2 linked regions of the Oreochromis niloticus genome follow. The protein of the gene in region 1 purifies or fractionates together with the protein of each later gene. This does not show direct contact. Links are inferred from orthologs where the notes say so. Each region holds a gene or a part of one and is shown in the gene's direction. Other genes may lie near its edges.

Region 1 (7,561 bases):
TAGTATATTTTCTGTATTTGCATACAGCTGCATATTGTGACATGTTTCATTTCCTCTTTAGTCCCCAGATATCTCCTAGAAGATGTGGGTCAAGGTCCAACAGATCCTTTCATGATCTCAGATTACACACACGGTGAGTGTGAAAACGAACGTTCACAGGTTTCATTGCATGCAGCAGACTTTGACTGGCTATTGAGCCCAGAACCCTCTCGCCTGCAGGTGGATGGTACACTGGCCCCACCTACAGGCCTCAAAATGTGTTCTTAACCAACTCTCTGGAGATCTTTGACAAAATACTGGGTATGTGTACTGATGCCTGTGGATGTCAGGCTACAGCCACATATATATCGCTCATGAGTGCTGTAGTCGAAGTGAAGTGTGGGTGTTCAAGCACGTTGGTGGACACAGTCGAGATACTGAGCTCCAAACTGACATGGAAAAATAAGAAGAGGTGTTGAATTAAATGAAATGTAGTGTTTTTAATTTGATTTAGAGTAACTGGAAGCCTTTATATACCATCTGTCTATTTTCTTAATTGCTTATCTAGCCTAGTGTTGCAGGGGCTAACATATATCTCAGCTGTTACAGATAGAGAGGTATGATACTGGACTGACATTCATATAGCACTTATGTACTCTTTACTGGCCACTTTAAACCACAATCCACATTTACTTTTTACTCTGCACACTTTATGCAATTCATCTACCTCACATCCACAGCCAATTTTCACTCACCACTTAACCTGACATGCATGTGTTTGTACTGCTGGAGGAAGCTGGAGAGAATCCACACAGGCACAGCAAGGACATGCAAATTCCACACAGGAAGGCTCCAGCCAGCCTCTGCTTATCAGTGTGCCAGCCACTTGTCTGTGCTGATAGGTTTTGTCTTTTCTGCAGTAATCTAAAATTTGCGTACATATTTCTGTATTATTTCCATTTTCCAAATCATATCATTAGTAGCATATTATCTTTAAAAAATATTTTTTCCTAATTTCAGTCTATTTATGTCCTTTCAGTTTATTATGACATGTTATATTCAACTTGGACATAGACAAAACAGTTATGTTTTTTTCCCCTTGGATCATACATTAACATGCTGGTGGAAAATCCAAATATTAGCCATTATGTACTCTAACATAAATAATCATATATGGTTTTTCCAGGAATGATCCTAATCCAAAGCCAATACTGTGTCTTTGTTTTTACAATACTGCACTGCCCAGGAAGATTTTTCAGCTAAATCAGTTTCGAACATTATTAATATGAATATAAAAAAATATAGATACAAATTATTTGGATATTTGAACTGAAATAGGAGCACTTGCAAATCGATTTTGATACATTACTCACATGAAATGAATTTAGTGGTTTCTTTGAAAGGTCACACCTTGCATTAATAGTGTTTTCTAAAGCAATTTGAGAAAGATGAGCTGAGTGGACACTTGTGGCTTATGCCGGCAAATTTTTAATTTCCTCACACATGTCTCTTCCAGGTCTCCCAGAACGAGTCGCTCTCTACTTTGTCTCAGGCATCTGCGCTGGTCTCGTGTTCCTGCTCTGCCTGTTTGGCGTTCGCTCCACACTTGTGAAAGACGTTAAAGATCTGGTTTCTGACCTGAATGATGAGCTGAAAGCATCTCGCAGACAACGCAAGGAGCTCATGGAAGACCTCTGCGAAGATGATGTCTCTGACACATCACCTTTCCGCCGCCTAACACAATCCTACCGGACAACTGACATCTTCAGTCCATCCACTTTAACAGTAGAGATGGTTGAGTGGGAGGAGGAACAATCTAGAGATCTGCCGAATGGAGACATTTGGCCACACAGAGACTCCAGCCCTTACGCTATTCACAAGATAAAAACTTACAACAACTGAGAGTAAAGTATCAGTATACTGCTTTAGAACAATAGTTGCTAACTGAAATCATGCTGAGATGGTGCTTTTACTATAAATTATGCATTTTACTATAACTTATGGACCTATTATGCTCATTTCCAGGTCCAAACTTTCATTCCTCTACTCTTCTAGAGGAGCTTTGCATGACTCAAAGTTCAAGATAATCCTTATTTATCTTGAGCTGGGTCCTTAGTTCATTCACAGCCTGAAACGAGCCATATGAACTCCTCTTCCTCCAAGCCAACTTTCTTCTGTTTGGGTGCCCCTCACAAACTCAAAGCTTAAGCATTAGATGGTTGGGTCCTAAGTGCCAGAGATGAACTAGGGAAGTCCCCAATTTTTGACATTAGGCAAAGCCAAGAGTAGAAAATAAAGTCTGAATTTGAGTGTTTAGAACAGCCTCATTATTTAAAACCAGTTTAATCTGAACACAAATCACAGTAATGAGGTATATGTGACAGAAAATAGGGGAAAGGATGATAGCTTCTCTTTAAATGTAACTGAACCTCCTAATCTGTCACAATGCATGATGACACTACTAAAATGCATAAAAACCTAATGGTGGTTGATTACAATCATAAAGGTTAATATCACATGTTTGTTGTTTCAATGAATTTCAAATGCAGCTGTGTTTTATGGAATAACAGTGGACGGTGCCACTGATTTAATTTGAATAATTTCAATGCATTTTTGCAGTTACATTATGGAAAAACAGTATTTTCAGTGCAGTGTGTGACTAATAAATCATTGGGTGAGTTAATTCCATTTTTAATGTTTCATTAAAACGTACAAAAATAAAGCTGCTCTTTTGCAGGGGAAACATTTCATATTATTGCTGAAAGATGGAGAATTAAATGTAGAACAGTGCAAAACCAAATCATCAAAAATAATTATATAAATTGAATAATTTTCAAATTTCTACTAACAATTATATTTTGATTCTTTGTTAAATTGTGTCCCTCTTTGAATTAATTAAAGTGATTATATCTGATTAACTGATAGAACTACAACACTGTGCAAAAGTCCTGACCCACCCTTTATTTCTTTATATTTTGCTTCCAAGGAGCTAGATGTTCTTATAATTTTTTTGGTCTAAGCAGTTGTTCTCCAGGCTTTCTGAAGGCCTTTCAAAGTTTTTCTTTTCACTTATTTTTATTCCAGCTCTTGTACCTGACCATCTTTAAAGGGATGTTTTTTGAGACATCATGAGAAATGTCTCAGTGTTGTTGATGGTCACAATTTATGAAGTCATGAATGCAATTGTACATGAATTGTACAAGTAGCCTGGAGAACTTTAAAAAGTTTTTATGATGAAAAAATTAGTCTGATATCAGATATTGATTAGTGGGTAGAGGGATTTAAAAGTCTGGATCCAGGAAATGGAAAAACATACTCAAAGTCTTTGCACAATTGCTCTCAGAAATACATCCACTGAGGAAAGAATCAGTGTTTAAACTGTGAGGACAGTTCAGCTGAAGTCATTATAATCATTAAAATCACAGTCTGAGATGAATGAAATGACTGTTAGTGAAACTGCTCTATCACAGCTATCACATGACATAGCGTGTGATGAAGACTGCTTAATTTGAAGGGGTCACAAGTCAAAGCGGATGAAACCTTGACTTGAGCTTATTATATAATACTACATACTGTAGTATATTCTAACTAGGCAGCTCATTTCTTTCTCTTTAAAAAATACTTTATTTAAAGATATAACACACCTTCAGTTGTTGTGAAATGTAAAACTGATCAGAGGGCAAATGTGACTGATTTTTGAATGCAAACTGTAATGTGATATTTATAATCACCATATACTTCTATCCTTTCCAATTTTGCCAGTACCAACACACAATTTTATGTAAATTTTTAAAGATAAAAGACAGTATAAGTTTTATCTTATTTGAACTGGAAAATGAGGTCCAATATTTAAAATCCCTATATTTCTATATGTTGTCAATTAAACCAATGGCATTAAGAAATATAGTTTTAAATAGTTCTATAGCAATATTACTTTGAGGTGCAGATCAGTCTATTTAACTTAGAGTTTGGAGGTCAAATTTGAATGGATTGTTTAGATGACCACACAATACACTCCAATAAATTTGATAAGAATTAATTTAATTTTTAAAAAACTATCGTGTTTACAGAAAGAAGGAAACGCGTAAAAACACTGCCAACCCCCCCAAAACACATAACCTCCTTGGTGGCGGTAATATTAAAAAAAAAAATGTAAAAGCGATTGTATTAGTTACACCTCATGCCTATTAATGTGGGACAAAACACCTTTCGGACATTTTTAATCCCCCAAAGAGGATGTGTGAAACTGGAAAGTAAATTATATGCAGATAATATTGTTTTACCACACGATGTCGCAGGGGTTTCTTTATATTTGTCAGGGCTGGGAGGCTTACTCACTTAGTATTGCACTCCGATGCAGAAGATGGCGTTATTAAGCTCATACTCGAAGCCAACTGCCGCAAAAAACCAGGATGATGAGTCCTTAAGCAGGGAGAGGAGCGGCAGGAGGAGGGAGTCCACCACATATCAAACTCTGTGCTGTAGCATATGCGGCTAAATCATAAAACTGCCAGCTAAAGCTATGTAGCCTGTGCAACCTGCTCTCTGGCATTCACGGGGACACGAGAAGAGCCGGGGTTTTCTTCTTTCTTTTTAAAGTTTCTAACTGTGATATTTTTAATACTATCCGGGAACAGCAGCAGCAGCAGCAGCAACAACAACAACAACATCATCAGCTGGCGTTTAGCATTAGCGGCCAAGCTTCCCGGAAGGAGGCCGCCGCAGCGCCGGGTGGAGGTTTAACTTTCCCTGCCCTGACGTCCGCACCGAAGTGATATAAACCCAAATGATAAACTGATATTTATTTCCTCTCGGTAAGAATGGATTCCTCTTTGGGGATATGCGGCGAGGAATGCTTGGCAATATCCTTTCTGAGTTCTGGTATTTTTGGGCTTGTTTTTTTTGGGGGTTTTAGCTTGTTAGCTAACGTTAGCTTTTAGTGAAGCCCATTAGGCAACGTTAGTAATTCAGTAATATGGAGATATTTAGTAACCGTGCACTTAAATAATCATGTTATAAAGTAGCTACAGCTCACTTTTAATCCAGTTCATTGCTAACCGCACAGATATATGACCAGTGTCATGCAATTAACGCTAATTAAAATCACTTGTACAGAATAACGTTAGCCATCCTTACACCTTTACACCCTTAAGCTAAAAGTATTACCTGCACTGGCACCAGCAAACCCAGCATCTGCAGTGCTTTGTCCCACCTCCTGCTCTTTTCTTTTATTACCTTAAGTTGCCCACCTTTTAACTGGCATGGCTTGTTCTAACCCTTCAGAGTATCTGTAGTGTAATCTCAGTTTACAAAGCCTGGGGTGACAGTCACTAGTTTCTCATTCTCAGTCACAATAATTCCTTGATTGTGCTGCTCACACTGTAAAATGCCTGGAGGTGAGGTCTGGCCAGAAGGAGCCCAGACTCCTGTCACTAATTGAACGCGGTGGAGAGTTTATGTAAGTATCAATGAACCAAATGACTGAAAAACAATGTGATTTTTGTCAAGCAGTAGATAAACCTATTGAGAATCATAAGTAGTGGTGATGAGTTGTTGAAACAATTTGAACACTCTTAGGCATTTACTGCAGCACCTAGTTTGTGAGAACTCGTAAAGCTGTGGTTTATAGCATATCTGAGGTGTCTGCGCTACTCTGGGTTTGTCTTTTATATTTCCTCCTATCTCTGACCCACAATTGCTGTGATATCGGTATGGTTCAAAATACACTCTGTTAGGTCAGAAAGGTGTGTGCCATGATAGCGTCACACTGAGTACTTGGCAGGATGATAGATAATTATATAGTTTAACTGGCCACTTGGTTAGGTACTAATAAGATGGCAGTAACTCAGTGCAGTAAGGCATGTAAATATGGTCAAGAAGCCCTGCTGAAGTTCAAACTGAGTATCAGAACACGAAAAAGAGGTTATTTATGTGACTTTTATTGTAGTGTGGTTGTTGGTGCCTGATGGGCTGGTCTGAGTATTTTAGAAACTGCTAATCTACTGGGATTTTCCAGCACAGTCATCTTTAGTGTTTACAATGTGTGGCCTGAAAAAGAGAAAATATCCAGTGAGCTGTAGTTCTGTGGGCAAAAGTGCCTTGTCAGAAGTCTGACTGGTCAGACTGCTTTTAGCTCATAGTCAGATATCCACTCATTACAACTAAGGTATGCAGAAGAGGATCTCTAAACACAGAGAGCTGAACATCATTTACACACCACAGCCTTCCTGCATATTGTTGCTGACCATGGCCACCCATTATGAACACAGTGTATCCATCTTCTAATGGCTGTTTCAGGCAGGATAGCAGACCATGTCACAAAACTCAGATCATCTCAAACTGGTTTATTTAACATGTCCGTGAGTTTCCTGGTAGTCAAATGGCAGGTCTCAATCCAATAGAGCACCTCTGGTATTTGTTGGAACAGGAGGGTTGCATCATGGATGTGAAGCTGCCATGTCTGCAGTAGCTGTGTGATACTGGCTCAAGAGTTGGGAGTTCGCCTTGTAATCGGAAGGTAATCGGAAGGTTGGCGGTTCGAGCCCCAGCTTGGACAGTCTCGGTCGTTGTGTCCTTGGGCAAGACACTTCACCCGTTGCCTACTGGTGGTGGTAAGAGGGCCCGGTGGCGCCAGTGTTCGGCAGCCTCGCCTCTGTCAGTGCGCCCCAGGGTGGCTGTGGCTACAATGTAGCTTGCCATCACCAGTGTGTGAATGGGTGTGTAAAGCGCTTTGGGGTCCTTAGGGACTAGTAAAGCGCTATACAAATACAGGCCATTTACCATTTTACCATTTACCATGCCAATATGGAGCAAAATTTTTCCAGCATCTTTTTGAGTCTATATATAAAGAATTAATGCCATTCTGAAGGCAAAACTGGGTCTAGCCAAATATTTGCAAGGTGCTCCTAGCAAAGGGCCTGTTGAGTGTAGTTGGATTATCTTTTTAGGGTGTTATCTAACCAATAGATCTTGCAATCAGAAAAGCAAAATGATGCATGGCTATGACAAATGATCTGAGAAGTGCTCTTCAGTGGGGCAGGAAGAAGTACAAAGAAAAATAATCCAGGAATAATTGATAGATTTTATGTGGTAAAGGTAATCATAAAAAATTACTATCTGTCTTCAGGTAAAAGATAAGATAAGACTTACTTACTTAAAAGTAGGGGAATTCCTATCTCAGGCTTTCTCATGGTTCATGATTTGATTTTACCTGAGAGAGTGCCTCAGTATGTTTCTGTTTCTATGTTTTCACTGTATAATATCTATCCAGATTTCCTGGATTTTGTTCTATGTAGATTTTATAGTTTCCTAGGCTAAATCTAAAAAAAAAAAAGCAAAATGAAAACTGCCAGAGAATCTGAAACAAATGCAACATAACATAGTCAGAAATTTTTAGTGGCAGATGTCATGCAGCCCAGCTAAAAGACTGAATGCTGCGTTTTTAGTGACTTTATGGAGCTCTTCCTCTGAGTTCAGAAGGACACTTATAAGGACGATGCTGCCTGTGGGGCTGTGGTGATATGGTTGAGTGTTCCAGTCCCTTCAGCTGATGTAAACTTGCTCCACACATACCACACCACTT
Region 2 (7,995 bases), on another chromosome or scaffold:
TGTTTGTGTGCAAAAAGATGAATCTATAGATGTGGAGGTGATATTTTCATTCATATAAATGGTTGATTTAAAGATTCAAACACCGATGAAACCTTATCATCAAAAGTAAAGATGAACCAGTACAAGATGGAGTGAAATAATGTCAGCCAGTATTTGATTGATGTCTGTACAGGTTTTTGCTTTGTGCGTACTCAGATGGAAATCAATAGCTCCACTCAACCGATGGAATTTGCCTTTTAAGAATTGTAATTGTTTGTGTCTGGAGAGCCCAACAGTTCTGCCTGGGAGCGAAACGCTCTCTGCTGGACTGCAGATAAGGAGAAAATAATAACTATGTCAGTACGTGCCATATGCACAACCACAGCATGTTTTTGGAAAGACTCGTGTTTTGAAATGGTTGATGATGCGGTCACTGATCCTTGTCCAGACATTATGTTCGTTGTACATCAAAATCTATCCGCTCATCTGGTGCCATGCAAGCTGTGTTTATTTCACAATGACATGCAGAGATTCAGTACAGTTTGGCATAGTTACAGCTTTAAAGGGTTATTGAAGAAGTAATAATTTGCATCAAATTTTGTTTGTATACAAATATACATGTATATTTCAGGCATTTTTCTACAGAGACTTTAACATTTAAAGAGATGATATTTTTGATATTGTGTTGGATGACTGAGAGGTATTTTGATGAAAGCTGACATTCCCTCGAGGTATATGTTTTTCAGGGCAGAGCCAGATGAGTTATTTATACATACCGAATCGTGTTTACATGAATGAAAAACTTAACTATTATAACTTAGAGAAACTTTACAATGTGGGCTGCAGCGGGAGGAAGAAAATATAATGCAGAGATGAAACGTGACGAAAACCAAATACCTAGTTGTGCTTTATCAGAAGAGAGGCATGGGACTGAATGAACGCATGACTGACTCTTCACTTTGTCCTGCCATCACTGTGTTTTTCTATGCATTTCTGTGGAGAGGCTGCCTGGTAGTGGGCCTGAAATGCTGGATTTTCTGCCCTCCAGAACAGAGTTAAGAAATATTCCCTCTAACTCCCTCATGCATCGGGTCAATCCTGACGTCAATATAAACCTGACAAATTTCCATGTTGCTCTGGGTAATGAGTCATAGGTAATTAAAAAATGATGAAGTGCTTTTATATATAGCACTTATAAAAACCAAATGAGTTATAAAGAAACAGAGTAACAAGATGACTATTGCTTTAAAATAGATCAAATATATACAGTATATACATAGAAAATCAGTCAAATCTCATCAAAGTTCCCACCTGACATCCGAAAAAATCAGCTAAACAAAAAATGCAATAACTTACATACTAAATGAAATCATGCAAGGTTTAGTACAATGAAAATTAGTTACTGGCCATCAGAGTAGAGAAGGGTTAAAACTTTTTTTTTCCTTCACTTTTCATTCCTTGCAATTTCACCACAGGAGATAACCAAATTACCTTTTCAGCACTGAGAAGGCATTAAACTCAGTTAAAAGCTGCAATTAAATAAATTCTATACCCACTCCAAGTGTCCCCATCTACAGCCAATTCAGCATATTTTTTTCTAAAACCAACTGTAAGCATCAGTATTATGGAATATAATCACCGTTTCGGTAGCAAAATTGTACTAATTTAACGTCTGTGAAGTAGAGTAACAGAAACACCCGTCAACTATGGTATGAGTGTTGATATTGCGTAGAGAAGCTGCAGAAGGCACTTTGCAACTTATTTGGAATGCCAGAAACAGCCTTTCTGAACAGAGTCGGCATAAAGGAGTAAATAAATAACTACAAACAAATATGTGTGTCTGAAAGAAAAGAAATATTGGCCGATATATCAGACTTTTTAAATCACAAAGTACGGGTATCTTAAAAGTCCTACATCAGTCAGGCTCTAGTTTAATGATATCACCATGTGTGTAACTGGTAAAAACCAACAGCATGAAAGGTCTGCTTTGTACCTACAGTTTGGTGAATTCTTCTAGGTGGGTGGAAGTAAAATTCATTTGGTTAAGGTTAAATGTGTTTTTCCACTCTGAGAATTTCATGTACTTCATGTACTTAAGAAGTACATGGAGGTCTAAAAAAAATGCTGTAAAAAAATAAGGCGACTTAAAAGGCGACTAAATTTCCACCTGCTCCATGTACTCATTTCAGGTCTGTAACTCGGAAAATATCCACAGTATGAACATAAAATGTTGCATGATTTCATTTAGTATGCTGAAGATATTCCACACAAAAATAGCGTTTCTGGGGGGTTAGATGAGAGGCATTCACTGGTATTTCATGCAAACATGATTGCTGGTGAGCAACTTTTTTTTTTTTATTAACACACCCCCTTGATACATTTAGATTAGAGGCATCACACACTTGTAAACCTCACCTCTTTGTTCAGATACTGAATTAAAGACTAAACTCTGACTCAGCAATGAATCACTTTTAAAGCTGATTGGAATGTCTCAAAAAGTTGTTTGTGATATTTTATTGTGTGTCCACAAACTGTTGGGAAATAACTTGTGAGAAGTAAACACTTTGCACTTGGTCAGTGTGCGTGTGAGTGTGTGTACTTTAAACCTAACAATATTTTTAGTGCTGATTTTATGTCTGTATTCTCTATTAAAAGCTGTCCTCTTCTGCGTTTATCTCTCGGATATGTTGAGCCTCTGTGAACCGGGAGCCCAACGGAGGAAATTAAACCGCCTCCGAGAGCATCACACTTCATCAAAGTTACCAAAAAGCAGTGAGAGCAAACGTTTCAAAAAGAGAATGACAGAAAATGGCATCAGCAGCTGCATCAGCTAATTGAAGATTAGTGTGATGAGATAGCAAGCTGGCAGTGCTAAAGGCCATCAGCTGTCTCCCGAAGATATTCAGAATATCGTATTCATTAGAATAATTCAGATGAATTCATGGCGGCTTGTCATGGTCATGCAAAAACAGACCGCAGCCAGCAGCTCAGTGCCATAAAAGTGACAGGGTTACAGGAACGGGGCAGCGGTGGCCTAGAGGACAGCGGGGAACATCATAAGTTCAAATGCATGAAGTGGAAAGCTCTGCTAAGAATGTGCATGACAAAAAGATATCTTTAACTCTGCCTTTTGGAGTGCCCTCAAGCAGGGCTCTCCATGAAAGGACTGCAACAGAGCTGGGCAGCTGTTTGCAACCCAAGTGAATGGGAATCAGGCCATGACAATAAAAAACTACTTGCCTTTAATCCCGGGGTGCCTTATGTTGTAATTATAGTAAATGTGCAAATTTTCACAAAGCAGAACAAACTAAAGATGCTCGTGATGCTATGATACTATAATGAATGTGTTACTGATATATAACAAAGCTATGATTATTTAGTTACAATATTAAAAATTTAGAAACCAATAGCCCTACTGATTGGAGAATGTTAAATATATTTTGAATGCTGAGGCAGTAATTTCCATAATATGTGATTATTTTACTTGAAATATGATTAACAAAATATGTTATCCAGGCACTTGTTAAAGTCGATTGGATTTACAGAGAAAGAGTGAAAACACAAGAAGGGAGGCTGGTGTTCGTATTTTCCATTTAGTCCACATCAAACCACATCAAGAGACCAGATAATGTCTAGAGTAAAAACAACTACTCTTAGGCTTGTCAGATCTGGACCACATGAATCCCGAGAAGCTACTGACTGTTTAAAACAATGTTTCAGATTAATACAATACCATGCAAAAGTCTTAAGTCGCCAATTTCTTTATGTTTTGCAGTGAAAATGGGAAACACTTGCGGTGATTAATTAAAATATGTGCAAGCATACATGAAAATCCAGTAAATAAGGGAGAAAAAAAAACCCTACAAATTTCAACAAGCTTGAAAATTGACATCTAATATGATCAATTTTGTTGTGCATCATGGCCTGAACTCGGTTAGAAAGGCTTTCTTGTTATTTCTTCAGGAATAGTTAACCAGGTTTCTTGAAGGAGTATTTTGGATGTTGGGTGTCTTTTGTCTGTCAAGATCACTGCATCAATATTAGTGAAGCAAATTTGGATTCATCACTCCACAAGTCCTGTTGCCATTGATTTTCAGTCCAGTTCTTGTGAAATGTGGCATACCTCAGCCTTTTCTCCCTGCTTAAGAAAGGGTTCATGTCAGCCATCCTTCCACTGAGACCATTTCCAAACATTAGCTGGATCATCTGGAGGGATCTCTCAGGATCCTGTTGCTAGATTTTTTCCCGTTTATTAAGGATATCACTTATAGGCCAGATCTTCTTTTGTTCTCCGTTTGTCCAATTTCCTCATTTTTTTAAGGCCACACTGCACAAAGTGCTGAGGTATTCCAAGTTTCAGGCTAATAGTTTTTTGGGAATCAGCTTGTTAGTACCAAATACTATTTTACAACAGGCTGCTGGTAACAAAGTGCCTAAAGAGATACAATTTAAAACCAGTTCTTTGCCAAGTTCTTTGTGATGTAGACACAACACTGGTTAATTCCTTAAGTTAGGTGCCTTTTTCATGCTCGAATGATACATAGCTCAGTGTTAAGTGGCCCAATAAACAAAACAATGTCTATGAAAATGGTCAGGCATAAAGACATAAAGAGGAAATTTGAAAGACCTTCCGAAATCCTGGTGAATTATTGCTCAATACATTTTCTTTTTAAATACAAACTCTATTTAAACCCTAAATATAAAGGAATGACAGGTGACTCGAGACTTTTGCACAGACCTTTATATCCAGCAACGCTCCATCCGTGCAGGTGGAGCAGTCAGCAGCCACCTTTCCAAGGGCACAGACAGGCGCGCCTGTTTTATATTACTGCTTATCCGGACGGCTGTTTCACCAGGACGGCACGAGAGCTAAAGTGATCACCCCGCCCTGTCAAGCTGGCAGGGTTAAGCACAACGCGCGCTCTGTTAGAGTGTCACGTGACCGGGGAAAAAGAAGAAAAAAGAAAGAGGCGAGGAAGAGAGAAAGGGAAAATCAAAAAAAAAACTGTGGGACTACCCGCTTGGAAGAAGAGGGAGGTTTTCTGTTTACGTGGAGGTAATGAATACTAACACTTAGCTGGTTATTATAATATTGTCCTAACTTGTGAGAGTCCACCTCTAACAGCTCGTCTGCAGTCTGCGGGCTGCACAGACGTTGGATGCATGTTTGTTTCCACGAAAGAGGCTAAAGGCGTGAAGCTAGTTGGCACTGAGAGATGTGTCTTCAAGCACGCTCGTTCGTGTTGCCGTCGCTGTGTTATTGAAGGCCAGCAGGAATTCCTGTAAAGTGCTGATGTGTCAAAAGCTTGTGACCAGTCAGCCCTCCTTCATACTGAATCACTCGCTCCAAAAAAACACGAAGCGGTGGAAAAAGTTGTGGCTAATAATCCTCTTAACGTCTAAAACGAGCGAGGACGCTGACCTGGCCGCTTCCTCTTGGATTCTGTCGTTTATGCGGCTTCCTGAGTGAAAATAAACGTGAAATAAAACTCGTTACTTTGGTCTTTTTTTTAGTATTTACTCGAGAAGGGCGAAGAAGTGGGAGACGGTCCAGTTAAGAGCTCCAGATGTGATGGGAGGACGGAGGTGGATGTCGGCTGGATATGAGACAAGCACGTAAGTAAGGGATGGGTTTTGTTTGGACGGTCAGTAAGCCGTGTTTTAAACTCTTAGTTTTACTTTTAACTTACTTGCATATTTATTTGTCAGGGGTAGATTTAAGTTAAGAATCTGTGTTACAAACACTTTGCTACCTCTTGACTGCCAAAACTGGTAGATCCTGTTGTCCACCTCCGCTTCAAAGGTTTACAGTACTGTTCAAAAGTCTTTAGCTACCCTTCATATGTTTATATTTTCCCTTCCAAGCAGCCAGACTTTATAGTAGTTTTTTTTCTTTCTTTTTTCCTTTCCGAAGGTCTCGCAAAGTTTTTCTTTGGTTCTCTTTCACTCATTTTCAGTGCATGTTAGGTCACTTAACACTGACCTATGAGTCATTAAAGCATAAAAATGGCACCTGACTCAAAGGATGAACCAGTGTTCTGTCTACAACTTGTCTGTCAACTTGGCAAAGAACCAATTTTAAATATCTTGAGAAAATTTGTTACTAGCAGCCTGTTGCAAAAACACATAATTTGTTCCAATTTCCTCAAATGAATCTGTGAAAAATGCCAAAGATAACAGTTTGAAAGGCACACAAATGACATTCCTGCACCAAAAGGTTGATTCCAAAAGAGCTATTACCTGAAAACCTGGCATATCTTGGCATGGCATACAGTGTGTCCTTAAAGCACATAAGGTAACTGGACAAGAGGAGGAAAAAAGAAGAAGAGGCAGGGTTTTTTTTAAAAAAAACAAACAAACTACAGCAGATGAACAGTATCTAAAAATGATGAACAGTGCTCCAAAGAAACAGAAAAGAAATCTGACACAAGATCTGAGGGATGCATCTGGCTCTTCAGTTGATCCGTCTATTGTTCCATGAAGCCTTATCAGAAATGGCCTCAGTGGAAGAATGGCGGTCAAGAAGCCATTTTTTAAGGAAGGGAAACACAAAAGGCAAAGGAATGCCAAATTACAGAAGAACTGAAAATCAGTGGAAACGGGTCTGATGGAAGCAATTATTAGTGATTACTGTCTGTGAAGGTTCTCATTCATCCAGGTCATCGTAGTCAAAGGAGTTTGCAAAGAAAAGCGTCTGGACTTCTTTAAGTTGCTTGAAGACGTTTCACCTCTCATCCGAGAAGCTTCTTCAGTTCTAAGGTCAAATGGCCGAGAGTCCCAGATTTAAACCCAGTGGGAGTATCCCCCCAAGGAGGGACAAAGGACCCCCTGGTGATCCTCTAATCACATGCGCCAAGGTGTGAAAGCGGGTGTGGGACCTAATCAGCCAAGGTTTCGGGTGAGCTCATTGTGAAACCTGGCCCTACCTTGTCATGTGAATTCCTGAGGTCAGATGGCCCAGGATGTGAGTGGGCGTTAAGTTATTAGTGATTACTGAAACAATGATCTTAACAGAGAACACAACAAAAGGCAGCCAACATCCAGAGAGGAGCTCTGAATGTCTTCAACACTGTATAGGCTGTATTTCCTGTCACCTTTGCATGTTTCAATAAATCACTGCAACTGTTTACCATTGTCCTTGCAAAATATATAAAGACATGAGGGGTGACTCGAGACCTTTGGAAAGTACTTATATCTCAGTTAACTAAAATACTGTTTCATATCTAAGTTATTATAGTTTTAATGAACTATAATAAACTTAGTGCATACTCAGTGAACCTGACAGGGAATAGCCCATACATCTGAGCTTTTTAACTGGTATCTCCTGTTTTTATTCTGATGTTGGAAGAAAATAAAAAACATGAGTTATAGCATGTGCGAAGGTGAATGTGTCTGATGGGGTATTGATGCCCATTTTGGGAAAACTATCGACGTGGGGTTTCTCCTGTATCCTAAGGCAGTACATATCTAGTTTAAATTTTAAAAAGGAAAAAGAAAAGAAAAAACATTTGTAGAATTTCAAGGACTAGAAAATTAAGGAATCTTGAGCACTCGGAGGAGCCTTGCTTGACCATCAAGCAGCTCGAGAGAATACACCAAGGTGGACATCCTGCTCCACCACCTTCCTACGTGCCACCGTTTTCCTTCTTCCAGCCCGATCTTCCACCACATCTTCCTCAATGACTTCCACTGCCTCCCATACAAGTTTCCCTTCCAGCTTACTCTCATGGTCCTCAGATAATAGCTTCATTACCAAAAGCGAAAGCAATAATACAAACAAGCTATTAACTGCAAACAAGATAATAAAGTGCCTTGCTTCTGTTTCCTAACAGGAGTAAAATTGGATTAGCAGGAGGTAATCTGAGCCCCAGTTTACAGTTGAACGTGTGATTAAACAGCATGTAACGCACTAATCTGTCCATGCTGTGCAAGTTAGACTTTCAATTTGTCTTGCACTTCCAGGGAGTTGCAGTATTTATGCGTGCTGCAGCGCTCTGTTGGTGTTATGACAGGTAA

The links. Proteins that work in one complex are often made in the same cells at the same time.
Region 2: the proteins of ocrl (region 1) and pheta1 purify together in Homo sapiens (co-immunoprecipitation; 5 studies listed by BioGRID and IntAct, counting the BioPlex papers as one, with this or other methods). This does not show direct contact. The link is inferred for Oreochromis niloticus from reciprocal best matches to the Homo sapiens genes OCRL and PHETA1.

What each region holds. Positions count from the first base shown.
Region 1 is NC_031966.2:18,622,544-18,630,104, forward strand, and holds the start of ocrl (inositol polyphosphate 5-phosphatase OCRL), read left to right. Parts: upstream 1-4,417; 5' UTR 4,418-4,799; coding exon 4,800-4,841; intron 4,842-5,357; coding exon 5,358-5,437; intron 5,438-7,561. Other genes in the region: si:ch73-335m24.2 (protein eva-1 homolog C), read left to right, coding at 62-133, 220-300, 1,496-1,881. UniProt on the Homo sapiens protein: Catalyzes the hydrolysis of the 5-position phosphate of phosphatidylinositol 4,5-bisphosphate (PtdIns(4,5)P2) and phosphatidylinositol-3,4,5-bisphosphate (PtdIns(3,4,5)P3), with the greatest catalytic activity towards PtdIns(4,5)P2.
Region 2 is NC_031977.2:24,418,929-24,426,923, reverse strand, and holds the start of pheta1 (sesquipedalian-1), read left to right. Parts: upstream 1-4,895; 5' UTR 4,896-5,035; intron 5,036-5,493; 5' UTR 5,494-5,595; intron 5,596-7,995. UniProt on the Homo sapiens protein: Plays a role in endocytic trafficking. Required for receptor recycling from endosomes, both to the trans-Golgi network and the plasma membrane.